Linked DNA regions of Coturnix japonica. The protein of the gene in region 1 purifies or fractionates together with the protein of each later gene. This does not show direct contact. Links are inferred from orthologs where the notes say so. Each region holds a gene or a part of one and is shown in the gene's direction. Other genes may lie near its edges.

Region 1 (4,750 bases):
CAACAAATGCACTGCTGGAGCTGACCAGAAACCTGATGGCTGCCTCTCAGGCACCGCTGCCCTGGTGCAGTGAGCAGGCAGCTGCCTTCCCTCCCTGGGGACACCTCAACCTACCTCAAAGGAAGAGACAGAAGCTGGTTCTGGAGCACAAGTCCTGTGGAGCTCCCTGCACTGCACTCTTGCCCGTGGGCTGGTCCTGGAGAGAGCCGTGTGATTCAGTTTTTAGAAATGCCAAAACCTGGCCAAGTTGGATTTGTTACTGTTGTTCAGGCCTGATGCGGTGATGGTTTCCTTGTTGGTGTAGGATTTGGATGAGCTGGGAGGCAGCTCCCTCTCTCCTTCCCTCACCAGTATGGGTTGAACCCCTCCTTGCCTGTGTTGCTTTGCACTAACCCTGAGCCCCAGAGAGCCGGCAAAGTTGTCTGCTCTTCTCTTACTGCAGGCCAAGGCAGGGGAGGACCAGCTACCACTCTGCTGTTCTGGAAGGAGCAGGGCTTGGGCCTTTCAGCCCATGGGTTTTTATTCTGAGTACTTGTGCCCGCATCCTCTGGCTTCTGCCCACTACTGGGGAGGGAGCAGCCCTTCACTGCAGTTGGCTCTGCGGTGCTCTGCAGTGTGCACACTGGAGATGGGTGCTACTCTCCTGTTCTATTTTTCCCCTTCGTTTCTCAAGATGTTTCCATTAAACTTTTGCACATAGCTGCTCTTGTGTCCTCTCTGTCTCATCACACCTGGTGGCCCCTTCCATGATGAAGGCGCAGTGGGTTCTCGGATGGGGTGCTGTGGGGCTGGTGCTTGCAGAAAGCCCTTCCCTCTCCTTTCCCCTCAGCCCCCCATGCCCGCAGCAGGCCCTGTTTTCTGGTCTCCTTGGTGACAATCTCATCGCTCCTCGGCTTCTCTCCAGCACCTGAAAATAGCCACCGAAAGTGGAGATGCCTGCTGCCAGCACTGCTGCCGTGGCCAGGCTGGAGCCAGGCCGCCCCGCTTGGGGCTGGACGCCTACATCTGCAGGCCAGTATCACACACAGTGAGGCAGCCTGGGGGGGACCCTTGTGCCACCCCAGCGCCACTGGCTCATCCCCAGCCCTGAGTCTCCAAGCTCATACCTCCTCTTTTTCTCCCTGCCTTTGCTGTAGCTCTTGGAGTAACTCTTTGCTCCTCACACCCCATACAAAGGCATGGGGGTGCTTGCAGCCTCCCCTGCATCTCAGGGGTATTTTGGGAAGCTGTCGGCTGTGATATAGAATCATCTGCCTGGCACCCTTGTGGGGGCCTGTGGCCCTGCTCCCTGCCATGACCAGGGTCCAGCTGTCCCCTGGGGTGAGCTTGAGCCACCCTGTCTCTATGGCCAGCCATGGGTCCGCTCGCCCACGGCCACTCTGGGGCTGGCCCGGCAGCAGGCCAGGGTGATATTTGAACCTTCCTGAAATAGAAATGAAGCTGGGAGCAAGCATGGGGTGGGAGGGGGTGGCCCATTGGGGTAAGGAAAGAGGTTTTGGGGCTGGTGACATGAGATCTGGGGGCTGGGAATAGGCTGGATGGCAGCAGGACCCCAGGATGGGCTGTGGCATGGGGACAAAGTGCCCAGCCAAGCTGTCCCAAGCTGTGCTGGCTGCCACTTCACCATCCTGCCGTACATGCAGTGCTGTACCCCTGCTCCTGGTGGGGCCGAGTCCCACTCTGGGTGGTACAGACTTGGTGGGCTGGGGATGGCTTTTCCTCCTCTGGCCATCCATCCATCCATCCCCTGTGTCTCCAGGTGCAGCAGGTGCCGCAGGCTGAGACAGCAGGGTGACGCTGTGGGTGCTGCCTGGTGGCCGTGGCCCCCCCGCATTGATGGGGGCATGGCTGGCATTGCTGAGTGACACCCTATCTGCCAGGCCCCGGCCAGCCGCAAGCCCAGAATAGCAGCGCTGTCCTGCAGTCAGCATGGAGCAACTCTCCAGCCCCGCCGCTCCCCAGGTACCCTCAGGACGGGTGGGGGGCCAGGCTGAGTGGCCCCCACTTGGGACCAGCCACGCTGGGTGGGGGGTTGGCGGCATCTTATGGCTGGATCAGTGTGGGGACAATGACACAGGGCACAGTGTGATCCGCCTGCCTGCCCCAGCTGCTGGGGAATGATTGGGGTGGGGGGCATTTGTTTAAGGTCACCTCCCTGCCAGGGCAGCTCTGACCTCCTTAGAGAGTGATCCATGCGGCTTTGTTGCTTTAGGGTGGCATGTAAACATTGGCTCTGCTGCCAGCTCAGCCTGTGCTGCGTGCTGCTTTGTTATGGTAGGGTCTCCTGGGGGACTGGTGGGGGTACGAGGCCAACGGGCTGGTTATGATCGTCTCCCCTCCTGCCTGGGCTGCCCCTTTGTTATTGTAGGGTCTCCCAGCCTGAGGCTGGGCATACCTAGCCCCGTGTGGCAGGTGGGGCTGGCAGGGCTCTCAGCATCAGAGGAAGCTGGAGTGGGATTTACACCTTGAGGACCGGAGGAGGGAAAGGAAGGGCATGGGGTTGCCTCGGCTGGGATAGTGACAGGAGCGCTGTGTGTTCTGGCATCCCACGCCTTGCACCTGGGATTCTCCTGGAGCGGACGACTGTCCCAATGGGGCCTATGCTGGCAAGGAGCAATCTGGGGCTGCACCCTGGGGGAACCAAGCAGTGAGGTGGGGGCAAGGTGGGCTGGCTGCTGCTGACCCCCCACCTCTGTATGTCCCTGCAGATGGTGCTGCTGGATGCTGCTGCCTGCCCTGTGGAGAAAGGTGGGTAGCAGGCAGGGGGAAAAGCAGCGCACAAATAGATAGCAGGTGGGGCTGGCTCACTCATGCAATGAGTGCATAAGCCCTTGGCTTGCTTGGGAAGCCGACGTCACCCCACTTGGCTCTGCAGAGTGGGCTCTGGGGGTTCTGCTGGCCCCAGCAGCATCCCCTGGTGTGGGGGCACTGAGAGCCGGCAGCTCAGCTCATTACTGGGGCAGGTGTGCCCACAGGGTTCCCAGAGGCACTGCATCCCAGGGGGGAAGAAAAGGAGGAGGAAAAGCAAAAGGGCTCCAGGCCTGTCAGTTTCACTCTGGGCAATGAGATCCTGGGACTGGAGCCTGACAACAATTTCCAGACCCCTGATGCTGAGGTCTACATGCACTTCATGAGGAGTCACTGCTGCTATGACGCCGTCCCTACTAGCTGCAAACTTGTTGTCTTCGACACCACGCTGGAGGTGAGACCACAAGGATCACTGGGGACTAATTGAGAGTGGGGGGGTCCTCAGTGTTCTCCTGACCCGCTCCCTGCTCTGCTGGCAGATCAAGAAGGCCTTTTTCGCCTTGGTGGCAAATGGGGTGAGGGCAGCTCCGCTGTGGGACAGCAAGGTGCAGAGCTTTGTGGGTGAGTGCCAGGGCAGCAGAAGGACTGCTATGGGATGTGGGCAGAGTGGGCAGCCCCGTGTCTCCACAGGGATGCTCACCATCACTGACTTCATCAACATCCTGCACCGTTACTACCGCTCGCCCCTGGTGAGTGCTCCAGACTGTGAAGGGCACGGTCCTGCACTCAGGGGGATGGGAGGGATGCTGGGGAATGAGGCAGCCCTTAGCCATGCCATCCTGAGTAGGGCATCTCCCTGTCCTCAGGTCCAGATCTATGAAGTGGAGGAGCACAAGATTGAGACGTGGAGAGGTAGAAGCTGGGGGTGATGGGGAATGTCTGGGCTGGGGACATCATACTCAGTCTGGGGGTGGCTCTAGTGTGGGACACCACTTGCAGCTCTCTCCCTTTGCAGAGGTGTACTTGCAGGGCTCCTTCAAGCCACTGGTCTACATCTCCCCAAGCGATAGGTGAGCTCCTGCCCAGGGGGGAGATCTGGCAAGACCCCCAGCCAGGGGTGGGCACCATCTCAGGGCACCGGGGGGCTTCTGGGCACAGCCACATCCCCCCACCCGCAGCCTCTTCGATGCCGTCTACTCCTTGATCAAGCACAAGATCCATCGCCTGCCTGTCATCGAGCCCATCTCAGGCAACGTGCTGCACATCCTCACCCACAAGCGCATCCTCAAGTTCCTCCATATCTTCGTGAGTACAGGATGGAACAGAGATGGGTCAGCCCATCACTGCAGGGTGGGGTGTGTGCATGATGCGTGCTCACATGTACTGCCCGCTTCAGGGCTCCACCATCCCCAAGCCACGCTTCCTAAAGAAGACAGTGCAGGAGCTGTGTGTCGGCACCTTCCGTGACGTGGCCGTCGTGCCTGAGAATGCTCCCGTGTATGCTGCCCTGGAGATCTTTGTGGACCGCCGTGTCTCCGCGCTGCCTGTTGTTAATGCTGCTGGTATCTTATAGCTCCTACCCTATGCCAATCCCAACATCCCCTCCTAACATCCCCTCCTCACCCCACTGCTCTGTCTCCTTGCAGGCCAAGTGGTTGGGCTCTACTCTAGGTTTGATGTCATAGTGAGTATTGAGTGTGTTCGCGTGGCCGTGGTGGCACATGGGAGCACATCCCGAGCACCACCATCCCTCTCAGCACCTGGCAGCCCAGAAGACCTACAACAACCTGGACATCAGCGTGCGGGAGGCGCTGCGGCAGCGCACCGTGTGCCTGGAGGGGGTCCTCACCTGCTACCCTCACGAAACCATGGAGGACATCATCGACCGCATCGCCGAGGAGCAGGTGAGCTGCAGGGACACATATCCCTTCCATTCACCCATGCCATTCCCTGCTCACTGCACACCTGTGATGCTCTGCACCCACAGGTCCATCGCCTGGTT
Region 2 (4,632 bases), on another chromosome or scaffold:
TCCTCTGTTTCAGGGCTCGGCACTGATGCAGTTCTACCTCCTGGAAGATGTGAGCCATGGAGCCAGCACTGTCCCTGGGACCCTGAAGTGCAGCAGGATGAGGCTGCATCAGGGTTTACCTGGCAGCTGTGCCTCTGGAGGGAGCTTTGGTGGCCTCCAGATGGAGGGGGCTGGGAGCGATGCTCTCGTGCAGGCTCTGAGCCAAGCCGGCTGCATGGGACTCTCCAGCAGCTTGGGGCAGCCCCTGCAGTGTATGCAAGGGGACGAACTGTGAAAGGCTGGGAGAGCAGGCTCGAGGCTTCCGTGGGCACAGGAGGGGTGGGAGGGTAACAGCTATTTAACAAGAGAATGTTCCTTTTAAATTATATATTTATTTTAGATAAATTGTACATAGTATTTATATTTATTGGAGGTCTGCCTCTGTACCCTTTGTGTAACTCAAGATGACCCTTGTGTGGGTCAGACCTCCTTTATTTTTTAAGTGCAATGTAATATTCTAATAAATAACTTTGTAACAAACACGTGAGTTGTTGATTTAAGAGATGTGGGTCAGGTCTCCAAAGGGTACAGATAACAACTTGCCCTTTATGGTGGGGTACTAAAACTACCCAGGAGCATCTGTGGAGCAGCGGCACAGATCTCAAGCCTGCTGGCCTTGGGGTGCAGCAGGGATAATCCTGCTGGGGTACTCCCTGGAGGGGGGAGGGTTATGGGGAGCTGGGGTGTGGTCTGCCCTGCTCCTTGCCCTGGAACCTGCAGCTGTGGCAGCCCCGCGTGTTCTTGTATCTCGGCTGGCTCATGAATGGCTGCAATGCTTGGGTGAAGCAAAGCCACCTTGAGTTCAGCCACTGCAATCTAAATCCAGTGCCCAGCAGGGGCCTGGAGCAAGGCACTGAGCCCTGCCACCCAGCCTGCCTCCCTCGAGTGCTCCATCCCACTGCTGACACTCCTTGTGCCCCAGCACTGAGCCCTGCAACCTGCAGCACACCTCCTCCTCCACGAACACCGGCTGTTCTCCAGAGCAAGGCTCGTAGGCAGGCAGAATCTTTGGATTTAATTTAAAACCAAATCCAAACCAACACAGTGTGTTACAGCAGCCTGTTTGATAACCAAGTGTTGGTGCAGTGCAGTGCCACCATTGCTCACCTCACAGCCATGATCTGCATGGAGCAGAAGAGCTGCAGCACTGCAGGAGCGGAGCTCGGCCTGCGCTTCTGAGGGAGGCAGCCAAGGAGAAACCCCAAAGCTGCAGTGCTGCCTCCCTTTGGGAACAGCCACAGCCCCGCGGGTGGTTCCATTCCCCCCAGAGGAGCATTGGTGGGATGCTGTGAGGGCTGAGCACCTCCCCGATGAAGGCAGGCTGAGGGAGCCAGGCTTGTTCAGCCTAGAGAAGAGAAGGCTGTGGGGTGACATCATTGCAGCCTTCCAGCATTTAAAAGGGGATAATAAACAGGAGAGGAATCAGTTTTTTACTGGTGTGGACAGTGATAGGACAAGGGGGAAAGGTTTTAAGCCCAAGGAGGGAAGGTTTAGGCTGGATGTTGGGGGAAGTTCTACACATAGAGCGGGGAGGTGCTGGCACAGGCTGCACGGAGGGGCTGTGGATGCCCCATCCCTGGCTGTGTTCAAGGCCGGGCTGGATGGAGCCCTGTGCCATGTATCAGATATGGAGGTCGGTGGGCTGGAACCTGCTGCTCCTCGGCCCCCTCCCACCCCACCCCGCTCTAACCTCCATTCGGCCGCAGCCCGCTCCGCCCCGCCCTCCCACCGCCCCCACTGCGCAGGCGCCGAGCGTGGGGAAGATGGCGGCGCCCGTTGACTTGGAGCTGAAGAAGGTAACGGGTGTCCGGCTCCGTCCGACGTGTTTCTCGGGCCGCTGCTCCCCCTCCTCCCCCTCCTCCCCCTCCTCTCCCCGCAGTTTGGGCCGGCTCGGCCCGGCCGGGCGCCCCCCGCCCCTCTGCCCCCGGCCCGGCCGCAGCCGCTCGACGTGCCGCTCTGCCACCACAGGCCTTCACGGAGCTGCAGGCCAAGGTGATCGACACGCAGCAGAAGGTGAAGCTCGCCGACATCCAGATCGAGCAGCTCAGCAAGAGCAAGAAGCACGCGCACCTCACCGACACCGAGATCATGACGCTGGTGGACGAGACGCGCATGTACGAGGGCGTGGGCAGGATGTGAGTAGCGGCCGCACCGTCCCTGCAGAAGCAGGGATGCTGGGCTCCACGAGGAGCATCGGGGGAGCATCAGTGTGCACCCGGAGTATCGGTGTGCACCCGGAGTATCGGTGTGCACCCGGAGCATCAGTGTGCACCCGGAGCATCGGTGTGCACCCGGAGCATCGGTGTGCACCCGGAGCATCGGTGTGCACCCGGAGCATCGGTGTGCACCCGGAGCATCGGTGTGCACCCGGAGTATCGGTGTGCACCCGGAGTATCGGTGTGCACCCGGAGCATCAGTGTGCACCCGGAGTATCGGTGTGCACCCGGAGCATCGGTGTGCACCCGGAGTATCGGTGTGCACCCGGAGTATCGGTGTGCACCCGGAGCATCGGTGTGCACCCGGGCACGGTGCCCTGGGCAGCACCAGCGAGTGTGTGTCGGGCTGGTGGTGTCCACGTGCCTCAGCATTTGGAAGTGAGCACGAGGCTGATGCGCACTCGAGGAGCCGCCTGCCCGCGCTGGGTGGTGTCTCACACCTCACACCTGCAGTGATGCACCTGGGTTATTCTGGCAGCGCAGCTCTGACTGCAGCAGCCTCATGAAGTGCAACACACAAACTGGGTTCCAGTCTGACGTGTGTGCTGACTCACTGTGCCGTGCTAACTTTCTGTGTGTGCTTTTTCTCTTCCATTGTGAACTGGGCAACAGTGATGATTACGCTTATTCAGGGATGATGTTTTATAGAAGGTTGAATCTGATTTGATTGCTGCCCACAGGGCGATTGCATCTCCCCGCTCCCAACTCTCCTTTGTGCTGCAGCAGACTTGTAGCTGGTTCAGCCTGCTGTTGCGGTGAGTTCCTGGGCCTGATTCATGTCATCACACAATCTGTTGGGTGAGTCTTAGGGAGCTGCGGGCTGGGAAGCCAGGACTGGTATGTGGACTGCGCTTCACTGGTAGTTGTCAGGTAAGACCAATGGGAAAATGAAGCTGTGCCTGGGTTCATCCTGGGCAGCCTGATCTAGTATTTGGCAGCCCTGCCTGCCGCAGAGGGTTGAAGCTCAGTGGTCTCTAGGTCCTTCCCAACTGAAGCTCAGTGGTCTCTAGGTCCTTCCCAACTGAAGCTCAGTGGTCTCTAGGTCCTTTCCAACTGAAGCTACTCTGTGATTTTGATGGGGGGGTGTGTAGCGTGACAGCCTTCTTTGGACCACTGTGGAATTACTCCTGTTAAGTTTTCCAAGCAGATGAACTTGGGTTTGTGTGGAGCTGCTGATGATGTTGAAAGGAGATAGAATTTGCAGATCTCTTGCAGGAGATAGCTGATATGACCCAGGCAGGCTGTAGGCTCATTGTTTTTGTCACAGAAAAGACAAACTAAGAGATTCTGGAAGCAACAATTTTTCTTCAAATTTTTTTTTATTTTTTTATCTTTAATCTTAAAGCAGGGTATACTTCTCCATTATGAAATAATTCCTCAAGATTCTTTGAAAGCATCAATATATCAGCCTTCATTGTAAAATGTTGGTTGTGAATGAGATAATGTTTCTGTGCTAACTGAAAAGTACTGTCCTGCTTTCAACCCAGCTGCTGGAGTCCAGTCTTTTTGAGACTGTACTCTTGCTTACCTTCATGTGACCGGGCAGGTGGTTCAGACTCTGCTGTGCAGCACTTTGCTCCTCAGTGATGGTAGAAAAATACTATCTGCATGATATTAGTCTTCAAATGTTTGAAGTGTGAACTCTTTGCGGGTTCTGTTGTCCTAGTCACTATGCAAATTCAGGTTAAGAGTGCTCATGCTCTCCAAACTACTTATTCACTGATTTATTTTACTTTTATTTCCCCTTCCTTAGCTTACTGCAGTGTTTCTGTGAGTTATGCCTGATTTGGCCATGGGGCTTAAGTCTGCCTTTCAAATTAGTAGTTCTATTTGGGTAGAACGAGCTATTCCAGGACTTTGTGAAAACGGAGTGTTTCAGGAATGTGATGGTGTGCTGTATCCTGGGAAGAAGTCTACCTAGTTCCATACTTCTGCGCTACTTGTAAAGAATTATGTGGTTCCTGCTCTGAGCCCAGAGCCTGCTTCCTGCCCAAGAGGCTTTCCCTGAGCCACTGGCAAATGTGAAAGCCCATTTGTTGTTCCTAAACATTTACTGTAGCTAATTTTGGTTTAACACAACCATTGTCAGTGCCACATAGTATGAGGTGATGAATTGCTGTGTACTGTACATATCTGTTTGACTAGGATATCATCTGAGTAGTGGCACCGTGCCAAATACATTTTCATTCTCTTACTTCATGCTCTTTGAAAGGCTTGTTATCTAGCCTGAGACAACTACCACTGTGGTGGACTCCTGCTTAAGCTATTTGTGAACTGATATCATCGTGCTGCTTTGAGAACTATGCCGAAAGCTTAAGCTTCAGAATTTTGTCTGAATGCTTCCGACCTTTCCCTTCACATTCCATTAAATAATGAC
Region 3 (3,976 bases), on another chromosome or scaffold:
CTGGTGTGTGTGTGTGTGTGTGTGAAATTTGTCTACCAACTATTGGTGCCCACCATGTGGACCTTTATGAGCTGCTCTTTAAGATATTAGCTTGAAATTCAAGCTGTTAAGAAACAACAACCAACAACAAAAACCAAAAAGGTCATATCAAGTACATATGTTAATGTGCTTTGGAAGTGGCCAGCATTTTTATTAAGGGATATGGAGCAGCAAACTTGGAGATGGTTCTTTTATTTCCCTTTATAGCTTTCCTCTATTTCTCTTTACACTTAATTCTGGAGGGCCTTGCTAGTTGTTTTTATGGGAGCCGTTCTGAAGTCTCTTCTTTAAACACAAATGTTGCAGTGCCAAGATACTTCTGGCTTTCTGCTCTGTAGCAGATGTAGCAGCACCACTCTGAGAAGCAGCCATTATTGCCTGCTGTTGTAAATCTGCTGAGACAGCAGCACAGGAATGAAGAGGCAGCTTACCTGGAAGCCAGGCAGCTCCAGTGTGATGTTGGAAAATTGGTTGTCTGTGTACTTGCACACCTTACCTGATTAGCTTTCAAAATCTAGAGTTGTTTCTTACAAAGAAGACACAGTCTTAAAGTCTTCCAGGATTGTGGAAGGCTGAAACGCTTGGGGATATGTATTTACTGGTGAACAGAAATAATAATAATGCCCTTGTTTGCCTACCTTTAATACAGCTGCCCTGTACCAAGCTGATAGGAGTTATGTCTCACTGTAAATTGAAAGAGCCAAGCCAAGAAGATCTGCAATCTGGTTGTTGCTTTACAGAAGTAACCTGAGAGCTGGAATTGAACTGCAGTTTGGTTTTAGCATGCTGGGTGTGCATTCTGTTCTGTGGCTCTTTTTTCTTGTAACCAGGGAGTGTATCAGTTACTGGCTGCAGAAGCAGTTAAGCAGCCTGCTTACAGCCAGGAAACCCCCTGCAGCAACCTTAGCTTGGACTCTCGCAGCCAAGATCTTGCTCTTTAAGTTGTCCACGTTTCAAAACTGTTTTCTGCTAGTGTGGTGATCTGCTGGGCTTGAGATTGTTTGTGGTTGGCAAAGTGTGGGATTTTTTGTGTGTGCTGTGGGTGGGTGAGTGTTTGTTTTGCTCCCATTTGTTTTCCTGTGTTTTGCTGCTGATGTTTGTCATTTGTATTTCTTCCGCTGTGTGTGGTAGTCTTGTACTGAAAGCACAGTATGATGATACTTCAAACTACACCTATCCCTGACCATTTTCAGCTGGGTGCTACCAGTCCACAGAAACAGGGAAGAAAAATCAGCATAGAACTGGAAGTTCTACTGTTTTTTTTTTCTTAAGGATGTTGATTTCTGCAACCACAGCATCAAAGCTGTAGGTGTGAGGTTCTCTTTCTGTAGTTATGAAGCATTGCTGCACGTAAGTGAATTTTGCCTCTCATCTGAAATAATTTAAGTCTGTTCTGAGGCTCTCAAGATATCCACTGGTCTTCTGCTGCCTGCGAGTTAAGTCAGGTATCGATCTGGATTGTTTGGGTACCAAGTAGCCGAATGAGAGAGCCAAGCAGTGGTGAAGCTTAGAAGTTTTGTGATGGTATCCTGGGCTCCATCAGGAGAGGGGTGGTCAGCAGGGATAGGGAGGTGATCGTCCCTCTCTACTTGGCTCTTGTGAGGCCCCATCTGGAGTACTGTGTCCAGGTGTGGAGCCCTCAGTACAAAAAAGACATGGAGATTTTGGAAAGGGTCCAGAGGAGGGCCACGAAAATGATCAGGGGGCTGGAGCACCTCCCCTATGAGGACAGGCTGAGGGAGTTGGGTTTGTTCAGCCTGGAGAAGAGAAGGTTGCGGGGTGACCTCATTGCAGCCTTTCAATACCTGAAGGGAACTTACTCCCAGGAGGGGAGTAGACTCTTTGAAAGGGCTGACAATAGCAGGACTAGGGGAAATGGATCCAAGTGGAAGGAGGGAAGATTTAGGTTGGATGTTAGGGGTAAGTTCTTTACTAGGAGAGTGGTTAGGCCCTGGAACAGGCTGCCCAGGGAGGTTGTGGATGCCCCGTCCTTGGAGGTGTTCAAGGCCAGGTTGGACGGGGCCCTGGGCAACCTGATCTAGTAAAGGTGTATGTTTGGTGGCCCTGCCAGGCAGGGCCTTGAGGTCCCTTCCAACCCAGGTCTTTCTGTGATATTTTGGATCTTACAGCCTCTTACATCCCTCCAGTTTACAACATTCACATTAAAATTGAGTGAAGGAACGATCTGCGTATCCTCATAGGCCTAAATGTACTGCTTGGGCTTGTTGCTTTTGGTAGTAGCTAGAGATTTTTCCCCACCTCAGCAGATAATAATGCTTTGTAAACTGGAAGAAAGCTGATATCTTGTTGCTTCTCTGAGGGCTTTGTTGACCATTTGGGCGTAATCATGATATAATTTCTTGATGTTCAAGGCTACCAGAGTATTTTAAAATAGCAGAAAAAGTTAACTACTTAAATGTGCCCATTCCTTATCTGCTTACCTGAAGAACATGATGAAATAAAACCCACTGGTAATACATGCCAAATAATTGCAGTAATAAGCTTGTGAGAGTTTATGTGGAATTGTTTTCATTCCATGAATTCTTAAACTGAGAAGGATCTGAAATGTTTCCTCCTTTCTTTGTTGTGTGTTTGAGGCTGGCAGTGCTGAAATTAGCCCTGCCACAGGAGGACAGGGCAGTTATGTTCGCTGGTACTGGTCTGTAAATGAAAACCTTGTGTGTCCTTGTGTTGGCTTTTGGTCAGCAGAAATTTCTGGGACTCTTCAAAGAAGATGCTCTGAAGGTTTAATTCATTTCAAGGCCAGGTTGGATGGGGCCCTGGCATCTTGTTCTTGTGGTTGGCAACCCTGGAATGAGCTCTTCTGTCTACCCAGGCTGTGTCTGTTCTTCTGATTATCATCAGAAGCCACCCTTGGATTCTGCTAATCCATGTTTCTCCCTTGCCCCCTTCTTTACTCCTAAAAGGCTGATTTGAAAATGAAATGGAGTTGCATGGATGAGCCTTTCATCTGACCTGCCTTTCTGGGATGAATTATGGTGTTTTTATGTTGCTGATATGCTCTATGTAGAACTATGATTGATGTACATAATGTTGCACAGAAGATTGTTGGGGGGGGGGGGGGGGGGGGGGGGGGGGGGGGGGGAGGGGAGCGCAAAGTAAACTTAGATTTATCTAATGTGGATATCAGTAGTTAACATCAACATTTTTTTCCCCTTTACTTTTCTTTCTTTGAGGCTGTGGCTGTTGGTGGCTATGGTTGCTGACTGTTTTAGGATGCCGTGTTTGGTTTTCCATCTGAGATTTCATGATCTCTTGCAGCAGAGCTCCCACCTCCATATACTGCCATTGCGAGTCCAGATGCCAGTGGTGTTCCTGTCATAAACTGCCGTGTGTGCCAGTCACTAATCAATTTGGATGGCAAGCTACACCAGCATGTTGTTAAATGCACAGTTTGCAATGAAGCTACGGTAAAAATGGGTTTTTTAGCATTTTCTTTCCGTGGGGGGAAGTGGTGGGAGGTTGAACATAGAATTTATGTCCTCACCTACAGAGTGAGCTGCTGATGGACATCACCATTGAGGGCCTGTTGCTGCTGGTGCACCTGGTTTGCTTCTGGCACAATCAATCTGTTCTTATGCAGCCAATGCAAATCTTTCTGTTCTGTCTAGTTAGCTCTGTTGGGTTATCTGATAGATAGTAATGCAGGCCACAGTGCTGTTCAGCTTCTGAGGCTTGTGACTGTATTAAAGGGCTCCAGAAACTTGCCTGTCAGGTTCAAGGAAGGTGATTTCAATACATTTTAAAGCAAGCTGATGGTTCTGCATATTCTGTTTCTGACTGAGAGCCAGACTTTGATTCTTTTGCTTCTGAATAAAGCCATCATACCAGGCAAGGAGACTTAACTAGTGGGATATAGTCAATATATTAAGCACAAATTCTCAAAACTAAGCTGAAGATTTGAGTTCTTTATTAC
Region 4 (4,462 bases), on another chromosome or scaffold:
CATGTCCAGGAAATACTGGTAGACTATTTCAGGTTTTTTGCTCCAGTATTTGCAGCTGTCACCTGTTTCACGTGCAAGTGAGCAGCATTAAATTCTTGCAGCCAAACATTTGCATTTCTTCAGCTTTTATCAACTAGTCGTGATTCTCTCATGGTTTCTTCCTTGGGTGTTTCTCAGATGAGAGTCTACCTTCTGTGAGAGTGTTTTCAAAATACAATGTCTACCCCTCGTGCTTACTCTTCTGCTGTTGGAGATGGGATAAAATGTCATACCGTAAAAAGTTTATATAAACATCAAATACCTTGTAGTGTCAGTACTTTGAAAGCTGAGGCTTCACTGGATTACAAAAAAAAGTACATTAGCACCATGCTTGTACTTGCTAATAGCTCTGAACTTCTGCTTTTCCTTAAGGATAGGGGATGCCATTTACAATTATGCAGAACAGAAGGAAATCACATGGGTACAGATGGGAACAAAGCCTGATGCTTGTTCTTTTCCTCCCCCAATGCAATGTGTGCCTGAGGATTTGTTAGGAGCTGATGGGCCCTGCTGCAGAAGACAGGAGGTTCTGCTGCAGAGCTCAAAACTAGAAAAAGAGCAACAACCAATTTTCTTCACTTTCTATTCTTCTTTTCCAGTTACAAGGACAAAACAAACAAACAAACAAAAAGACCATAACAATGTAATTGAAGCACTGAACATGAGCTGTAATAAAAAGTAGAATTTCTGTCTTTAGACAGTATCCAAAGGGAGTTTAGATAACATCCCCGAGTTCAGAAGTTGGCACCTTTACACATTAACAGGGGATTACTGAGGACTACTAATACCTTTTTGTCCTGCATCGTATAACATCTTTTATATGTTTGCGCATGTTAAAGAGTTTACATGTCATGTAGTGCTGGCTGAAAGAATCTCATTTTCTCAAACACGATCCTCATGAAAATGCTTGAAATTCAAATTCTAAATTACTCAAAAATCATTAGTTTTATTTTCCTTGCTTTGACTGTTTTACCATGTAAAATGTTACTTGAATGATACACAAATTTTAGCAGGGTGCATATTAAAGTAGTACCTACGATTTTACTGGCCTATGTTTTGCCATTGGCTGAACAAATGACACCCTCACCATCTTTGCATCCCTCCTGTGGACCACGGTGTGGACCAAGCAATTGACACTCTTCTAATTCCATCTGTTTATTTGAAGGCAGGATTGGAAAGCAACTTGAAAATAATATTTGCAGGCAAGAACAGCTGTTGGTCTGCAGTATGTAGGAAGCGGATCCAGGCAGGGCAGCAAGCAGGTGAAAGAAGAGGACATCTCCCACAGCACTCAACCCGGAAGGATTATCTCGCACCGCCGGAGCCCGAGTAGCAGAAATGGTTGGCGGGGGCGGAAAGCGGCAATAGAGGAATAGTGTCTGAGTTCCGGGGGCCGGCTGCGTGCCGGAGCTCCTCCTCGCCGGAGGCCCCGTCCAACACCATGCGCAGACTCGGCTCTTGGCTCAAGATGGCGGCGGCAGATAAACAGAAGCACGAGCACGGTCGAGTGAAGATTGGGCACTACATCCTGGGTGACACGTTGGGAGTCGGCACTTTCGGCAAAGTCAAGGGTGAGCTGTTGCGCCGTCTATTCCATTTGGGTCGGGGCTGGGGCAGGTTTCCCGCTGGGACCCTCGCTGGGGTCGTACGGGGGCTGCTGGGGCCCCGGCCGGAGGCTGGGCACTGTCAGGCGGAGAGCCGGGCGCTGTGTCGCGGGGTGCCACAGGGCTGAGGGCTGGGCTCCGGGTCCCGGCTCGTATGGCCGCGTTTGGTAGCTCTGGCTGTGAGGGGCGGCCTGGCCATGGAGGCGGCAGCGGGCATGGCTGGGGCGGGGCGGGGCGGCTCTCCGGACGGGGGATTTCTCTTCCGCGTTGGCAGACATCGTTCCTGGAGAATTCCTGCGTGCGAGTGTGATCGCATCTGTAACGGAGGTGGCCGACGTTCAGGCACACCTGCCCGCGGGATTGCGTTTTGTCCCTCAAATATTTGCCGCCCTTAAAAGGTCAGCGAGCTTTCTTGCTTCGCAAAGGGCAGAGCATTAAACCAAAAAAAAATCCTGAAATTATTTGACTAACGAGCTCAGCTGCTGACACAGCTGTGTGGGAATTCTTAGTGCTGAGGCTGGTGGTAACTGAAGTTTCTCTACAGCTCTCAGCTCAGTTGGTGGTGAGAGATTATGGTATAAGAAAAAGCTTGTCCCGTTTTTATTCAGCTAGGATTTTCCTGGAGTTTGTGTGATGTGGGTGGCTTTGCCATGACTTCAGCTGATGCGGAGCTCATTTCCTTCATAGTATCTGCTATGATGCCATGTTAAATCAGGTTAAACCATGACAGTCTTCTTGGAAGAGGGTGTTTAATGGCAGTGACAACCCCAGAAATCAAGTGGAAAAGCAGATTTGTGAGTAACTATCAAAGGTTTCCCGCTGTTCAGCAAGCTGTCAAATTAATTCACCTTTTCACTTGGTGTTTTAATATCACAGATTGTTGTTGCTGATCTGATGTTTTGCCCATGTAACTCTTAATTTGGCTCTATAATCCTGACTTAATTACTGACTTAGTTCATCTGTCTATCTCTCAGATAGGCATTCATAGAGAAGACAACTGGTTCTAGCATTCTTTTTTGCCTTTCATGTCCAGGCATAGCAAAAGTATCACTGACATGAAAGGTGAAAAAGACTGCTGGAAGTAAATGAGTTTTGTGAAGTACATTCTCACTTCAATTGTACAAGCATTTGGCATATAACACTTATTCTGACCTCAATGACTTTGGATGTTGGGCAAAGCTCTTTACAGAGGGAGTGCTGAGAACAGGCTGCTCAGGTTGGTGGTGGGTGCTCCATTCTTGAAGGTGAACATCTTCAGACCCAGGTTGGGTGGAGCATCTAGTTCCAGACCTGGAGGAGGTTGGTGGCCCTGCCTGTGGAAGAGAGGTTGGAACTTGATCCTTAGGGTCCCTTTTGACCCAATCCATTCCATGATTACTATTATAGTGTTGCCTTTTGAAAAAAAATGGTCATACCTTCTGCTGAATCCAAAAGCAGAATTTTATTTCCAAGTGTTTCAGATGGTTAGATTTCATGAAAAGAGGAGTAGTCAGACGTCTGGTAATTTTTAGTGAAACTGAGTATACTGTTTGTGATTGTAGATACAAAATGTTTGTCCAAGCCTTGAAAACAAGGCTAAGAACTGTGATCTGCAAAAATGATTTAAACAGGCCTTGATGAAATGTGGAGGGGAATAGTGAATGTAAGTTTGCTCTCTGTTGTCTATGCACAGCATTAGCTGCTGTTTTTGCTGTTTTAATTAATTAATTAATTTATTTTTCCCAAGTTAGTAACGATATTATCTTAATTTTAAAGAGTGCTGCTCTCTACTGAGCCTTGGCTTGGATTGTTTGTTTCTGTCAGTGTATTTGTTTACACGTAGTCATAGAATCATTAAAGTTGGAAAAGACCACTAAAATAATCTAGTCCAGCCATCAAATGGGGCAACATAAGAGTCTGCTCCTGCCACTAAATTTCACCTTCTGTGGTCTCCTGCGTCAAAGATCTTGTAAGTCTAATGCTTGTGGTATGGCCAAGTGAGGGCCACCCTGCAAGTGCCAGGTCTGCTAGACTGAGGCTGTATAACTTCATGTGATTTAATAAAGCCCAGGGTTTAGTGAGAGCCCCCTCTGCACTGCACAGCTGTGTATTTCTGTTGCTTGTACCTCCAACTGCCTTCCCATTGCAGAGGGCATCCAAAGAGATGCCTCCTCAGTGTGCCCATAACTGGTACCTACATCTCATAAGGACGTCATATTTCCTGTGGTTTGGGGTTGTTTTTGCCAGTATAAGGCTTGAATTTAGACAAATGTTTCTGCACTTAAGCAATTGAAATTGTTGCTGAGGTTGTTGCAACTGTGTCTTTGAAAACTTGTTGCTGTGCCTTCAAGTTTCAATATGACTATGCAATTTGTATTAGTGATAGAACATGAGGAAATGGTATCAGGTTGCACTGAAGAGGTTTGTATAGGATATCACGAAGAATTCCTTCCTTGAGAGAGTGGGCAAGCATCAGAAAGGGTTGCTCCGGTGGAGATCCCATCCTTGCAGGTATTTAAGTGGATGTGCCACTAAGGGACATAGTTTAGTGATGGACTTGATAGGTCAGGTTGATAGTTGGATCTGGTGATCTTGAAGTTTTTTTTTTTTTTCTAGACTAAATGATTATCAACCTAGAGTATTATCAAAGAATAAAGAGGGGTATATTAGCTGTACAAAGGGAACTTTCTATGCAGTGCTTTTACTTTCTAAGACTGGTAGAGTACTAAAATGATTAACTTGATTAATTTAAATATATTTCTGGATTGTAAGCCATCCCTTTTGTAGATAAAACTTATGCTAAGAGGTAATACAGAGTAGCTTACAGAAAGATAACACTG
Region 5 (3,976 bases), on another chromosome or scaffold:
TCTATGGTAGAGAAGAAAGGTTCTGAGGTTTGCAACTCAGAGAAGCAAAGTTAGCTCGGAGTCAGTAATACTAGTTTGGAAAGAAAATGAGAGCTGTAATTGCAAAGTGGTTCAAAGGTGTCTACTTAGATTACATCAGATTTCCCCCTCTGCTTGCTGTATCTCTTCTCCCTGTCTGGATGTCAATACGTAGCCAACACCTTGTTTTTAGGATTGTCCAACATGATGTCTGATGGTGAATTTCTACGCACCAGCTGCGGTTCCCCAAATTATGCAGCCCCTGAAGTCATCTCTGGAAGGTAGGACATGCCACTTCCAATCATGTGAGTATGTGGTCTTTAAATTTGCTCTTGGGATTGGAACCAGCTTGTAATAAAGCAGCTGAGTGGTTCCAGCCGGTGTTTTGTGCCTGGGTGAGTCTGCTGGAAATATCTGAAGGTCTTCTTGCTCGTTGTATTTCTCAATGTCTGTACTAGCAAAACATGTTTTGCTAAAGATGTTTACTTTGGAGGAATTATTAACAGCAGATGTTTACTGTGTACATTGCTAATTAAAGGGAATGAAAATTACTCTTTGGATGCAGTCACTGAGGTTTCAGAAAGATAGGCTTTTCCAGGCCACCCCTTTCTCTCCTGCCCACCTATGTAAAACACAGTGTTAATGAGAAAACCACTCATTAAGCGAGCAATCAATATTCTGCTTAATCACTTCCCTACACTGCTAGACCCTTGTATTGAAAATCCTTGTCTTTGGGTCCCTTAACTCTCAGGCTTATGTTCATGCCAGCGGGTTCAGTGGTGGTAGCTTTGTCTTGAACTGATGAATTGAACTGACAGAACTGCAGAGCAGTGGCATCTCTCAGCTGTGTCCTGACTGGCTGCAGCAGCTGTTTGGAACAGGGCATTCTGAACACAGGCTCTAGGGCTGAATTCAGTCTTGCCCCATTGATACGGTCATGCCACTTCCCATGTTTTACTGTTGAGAACCTGAATTACGTTGAATTCCCTAATTCTCCTCTGTAAAAGCATAATGCAGTTTACAAATACAGATCTTTGAATTTACAGTCCTCTGCGTGTTCCTTTGGACTGCCCATAACCTTAGCATCCACTCCATCCTTTTGAACCATCCTTTGCATGAGAGCTACTTTTCATAATCTGGTATGTCTCTGCCTATAGCTTTCAAACCCAACCTTTTGTTTAATGTTGTGATGATGACTGTTTTATGCCTGTTTACACAGGCGCGTGTGTTGGCAGAGTATCCTAGGAACTAGACCAGCATCCAAAAAGCCTGTTGTGACTATGGTTCTACATATGAAAGCAAGTAAATCCTCATTTTCAAGAGGGGCACAAAGCCAGAAACTCGACAGTGATTCAAAAAAATATTATTCCCATATTTTTTTTTGTAATAAAGGCCAAAACCACATATATATTTTTTTCAGTTCATATAGGAGACAGAGAGGAACAACCTGCCATTTCCACCAGGGGTGAATGTGCTGCTGGAGGTGGATATAGCTGAGCTCCTCCCAGAGACGGTGCACTATGTGAGACCTTGTGTTTCAGCATCATGAAAGTGAACCTCATTTGGGTTTAAAAGTCCAAGCACGGTTCAAACAATGTGGCTATCAGCCAAAAAATAGACATCCTGTCTGTTGGAATCAGACATAGACTGTGGGGACTTGGAGCCGATTGCATTAGCGGAATGCCCTGACTTTGCTGCTGTCACTGTTCTCCATGGGAGAAGTCTCAAGCATGAGCTCAGAAATGGTATTTTGTTACCTGGGTAGCATTCATAGAATGACAGTGTGCATGGCTGGTTCTTTTTTTTATACCAGGTGTGTCTACAGCAGAACTTTTCAAGAGGAGCAAGTGCAGGACGATTAGGTTTCATGAACAGACCTCTGTATTGGATTTTACAGTCCAAGAGTAGTCACTGACTCCCAGAATCTCTGAGAAATCAGCAGTTTCAGCAAAAACCAATGAACAAACAAATCAAGCAGGCAAGCAGCAGCAGCAAAACCCATATATTTGGGGTATCCTGACTTGGTGATGCCAGGAAGCACATTAACAGCTTGTCGGAAGCTGGAGCTCTTGCATACCAGCACACAAACTTCAACTGAAAATAAACACTCAAGAGATATAGTATCTGCTGCTGTTTAATCTGCTTCTGAGTGAATAGAAACTGCTGGCTGAGTCCCCCAGCCTCGGGGGCAAGGAAGCAAGCAGCCTGGCAGAGCTCCTGGAAATGTAGATTTGGGCTTTTTGTTGGGTCTGGTGGAGTTGCTCATATTCCTGTTTCATGCATCACGAAGGAGCGTGATCAACTAAAAGCAGCTCTGCGTCATTCCCCATCACCCTCGAGTAGGTTTTTGGCTTAGGCAGCCCAAGGATGCAGAGAGGAATAGAGGAAGGGTTGTGACCCATTTCTCCTCCTCTGCTTCACACAGGCTGTATGCTGGCCCAGAGGTGGACATCTGGAGCTGCGGTGTCATCCTCTATGCCCTCCTCTGTGGCACTTTGCCCTTTGATGATGAGCACGTGCCCACCCTCTTCAAGAAGATCCGGGGAGGTGTGTTTTACATCCCCGAGTACCTCAATCGCTCCGTTGCCACTCTGCTCATGCACATGCTGCAGGTTGACCCTCTCAAGCGTGCAACCATCAAGGACATCAGGTCAGCCCACAGCGTGGTTTGTAGGAGTTGCCAGTTAATCCAGCTGAGTTTGGTCCTAAGGGATTTAAGGAGCCCGCCTGAACTCTTCTGTGCCAATGGTGAGGCAAGTGCTGCCAGCTGGTGGTGGGTGATGATGAATGTGGGATTGGCGACTTCATTTCTCAGTGGCTTCACTAATTCAAGTGAAAATAGGCAATAGGTAGCTTCCTGCAACTTATATACAGATAATTCTATCTTCATACATTATAAAATAGCCTCAAAAATCTCTTAGTAGTGCTTAACATAACCAGCTCTCACACAGTATTCCTAAGAACTCTATATTGGCCAGCTATTTTTCAGTACTTTATTTCAAGCACATCTCTCTTTGGTAGCTGTTTAGAATAAAAGTGTTGTCATTGCACTTGCTGTCTATTCGATAAAAAAGGAAGTGGAACACAAGAATTACTAGCTAAAATGTTAGTCACAGTTTAAAATGTCAGCAAATGTCCTTAAATGAGGCATTTCTTCTGTAGTCAATGGCTGTACTACCCATGAAAGGGAACAATTGGGCACTTAAGTAGGCATTTGTGCCTTCAGATATCGTGACATGTTTGTAACTGGCAACAGGGCTTTGAATGTTTCACAAACTGAGTAATTTTTTAAATATTTATCTTGTGAAAGTGGAGTCCCATATGTATTTTGTGGAATTTATAGTAGCCATTACTATAACATGCTTTAGCAGAGGGTTGGGCTGGATCATCTCCAGAGCTCCCTTCCAACTTCTATGGTTCTGTGATTACATGTAGCTGGTGTGCTAAGCATATGCATAAACATCACAAGTACTTACAGGACATAATGGATTGTTAATACTTTTGCAATTGATGGCCTGAATTTAACCATTCAAATAGGATCTGAACTATAAATGCCTTTTAAACTTCACGAGTCCTGAAGAGTAGGAGATTTAATTGTATGTTAGAGCAACAGCATGCATGCCAAGATTACCATTGATAGGTGGCACCTATAGCTGAGGCTTGCACTGGCATTTACCTGCTTAATTACCATTGACTTCATTGTGAACTGGTGGGAGTAGTGGGCCTGGCTAGCTTTGAAATATAAGAAGGACATAGGGATATTAGAAAGCATCCAAAGGAAGGCTGCAAAGATGGTGAAGGGTCTGGGGGGAAAGGTGTATGCAGAGTGTCTGAGGCCCTGTAGTTTGTTCAGCTCAGAGCAGAGAAGGCTGAGGGAAGGCCTTGTGGTGGCTACAGCTCCACAAAGGATATTCCATGATTCCTCTATGAAGTGGTGTGGCTGATGTTGGCCCCTCTC

What was found.
Region 2: the proteins of PRKAG3 (region 1) and PFDN1 purify together in Homo sapiens (affinity purification with mass spectrometry; 3 studies listed by BioGRID and IntAct, counting the BioPlex papers as one, with this or other methods). This does not show direct contact. The link is inferred for Coturnix japonica from reciprocal best matches to the Homo sapiens genes PRKAG3 and PFDN1.
Region 3: the proteins of PRKAG3 (region 1) and PIP4P2 purify together in Homo sapiens (affinity purification with mass spectrometry; 3 studies listed by BioGRID and IntAct, with this or other methods). This does not show direct contact. The link is inferred for Coturnix japonica from reciprocal best matches to the Homo sapiens genes PRKAG3 and PIP4P2.
Region 4: the proteins of PRKAG3 (region 1) and PRKAA1 purify together in Homo sapiens (affinity purification with mass spectrometry; 3 studies listed by BioGRID and IntAct, counting the BioPlex papers as one, with this or other methods). This does not show direct contact. The link is inferred for Coturnix japonica from reciprocal best matches to the Homo sapiens genes PRKAG3 and PRKAA1.
Region 5: the proteins of PRKAG3 (region 1) and PRKAA2 purify together in Homo sapiens (affinity purification with mass spectrometry; 3 studies listed by BioGRID and IntAct, counting the BioPlex papers as one, with this or other methods). This does not show direct contact. The link is inferred for Coturnix japonica from reciprocal best matches to the Homo sapiens genes PRKAG3 and PRKAA2.

What each region holds. Positions count from the first base shown.
Region 1 is NC_029522.1:24,310,473-24,315,222, forward strand, and holds the start of PRKAG3 (5'-AMP-activated protein kinase subunit gamma-3), read left to right. Parts: upstream 1-1,712; 5' UTR 1,713-1,929; coding exon 1,930-1,962; intron 1,963-2,708; coding exon 2,709-2,748; intron 2,749-2,963; coding exon 2,964-3,202; intron 3,203-3,287; coding exon 3,288-3,497; intron 3,498-3,614; coding exon 3,615-3,660; intron 3,661-3,763; coding exon 3,764-3,818; intron 3,819-3,926; coding exon 3,927-4,053; intron 4,054-4,144; coding exon 4,145-4,310; intron 4,311-4,394; coding exon 4,395-4,432; intron 4,433-4,505; coding exon 4,506-4,652; intron 4,653-4,735; coding exon 4,736-4,750. Other genes in the region: tubulin polyglutamylase TTLL4, read left to right, coding at 1-73. UniProt on the Homo sapiens protein: AMP/ATP-binding subunit of AMP-activated protein kinase (AMPK), an energy sensor protein kinase that plays a key role in regulating cellular energy metabolism.
Region 2 is NC_029528.1:15,558,028-15,562,659, reverse strand, and holds the start of PFDN1 (prefoldin subunit 1), read left to right. Parts: upstream 1-1,710; 5' UTR 1,711-1,802; coding exon 1,803-1,835; intron 1,836-2,007; coding exon 2,008-2,174; intron 2,175-2,935; coding exon 2,936-3,010; intron 3,011-3,131; exon of another isoform or gene 3,132-3,265; intron 3,266-3,297; exon of another isoform or gene 3,298-4,632. UniProt on the Homo sapiens protein: Binds specifically to cytosolic chaperonin (c-CPN) and transfers target proteins to it. Binds to nascent polypeptide chain and promotes folding in an environment in which there are many competing pathways for nonnative proteins.
Region 3 is NC_029517.1:112,956,270-112,960,245, reverse strand, and holds part of PIP4P2 (type 2 phosphatidylinositol 4,5-bisphosphate 4-phosphatase), read left to right. Parts: intron 1-3,321; coding exon 3,322-3,470; intron 3,471-3,976. UniProt on the Homo sapiens protein: Catalyzes the hydrolysis of phosphatidylinositol-4,5-bisphosphate (PtdIns-4,5-P2) to phosphatidylinositol-4-phosphate (PtdIns-4-P).
Region 4 is NC_029547.1:11,813,225-11,817,686, reverse strand, and holds the start of PRKAA1 (5'-AMP-activated protein kinase catalytic subunit alpha-1), read left to right. Parts: upstream 1-1,301; 5' UTR 1,302-1,480; coding exon 1,481-1,610; intron 1,611-4,462. UniProt on the Homo sapiens protein: Catalytic subunit of AMP-activated protein kinase (AMPK), an energy sensor protein kinase that plays a key role in regulating cellular energy metabolism.
Region 5 is NC_029523.1:23,047,401-23,051,376, forward strand, and holds part of PRKAA2 (5'-AMP-activated protein kinase catalytic subunit alpha-2), read left to right. Parts: intron 1-211; coding exon 212-299; intron 300-1,831; coding exon of another isoform or gene 1,832-1,880; exon of another isoform or gene 1,881-2,427; intron 2,428-2,443; coding exon 2,444-2,668; intron 2,669-3,976. UniProt on the Homo sapiens protein: Catalytic subunit of AMP-activated protein kinase (AMPK), an energy sensor protein kinase that plays a key role in regulating cellular energy metabolism.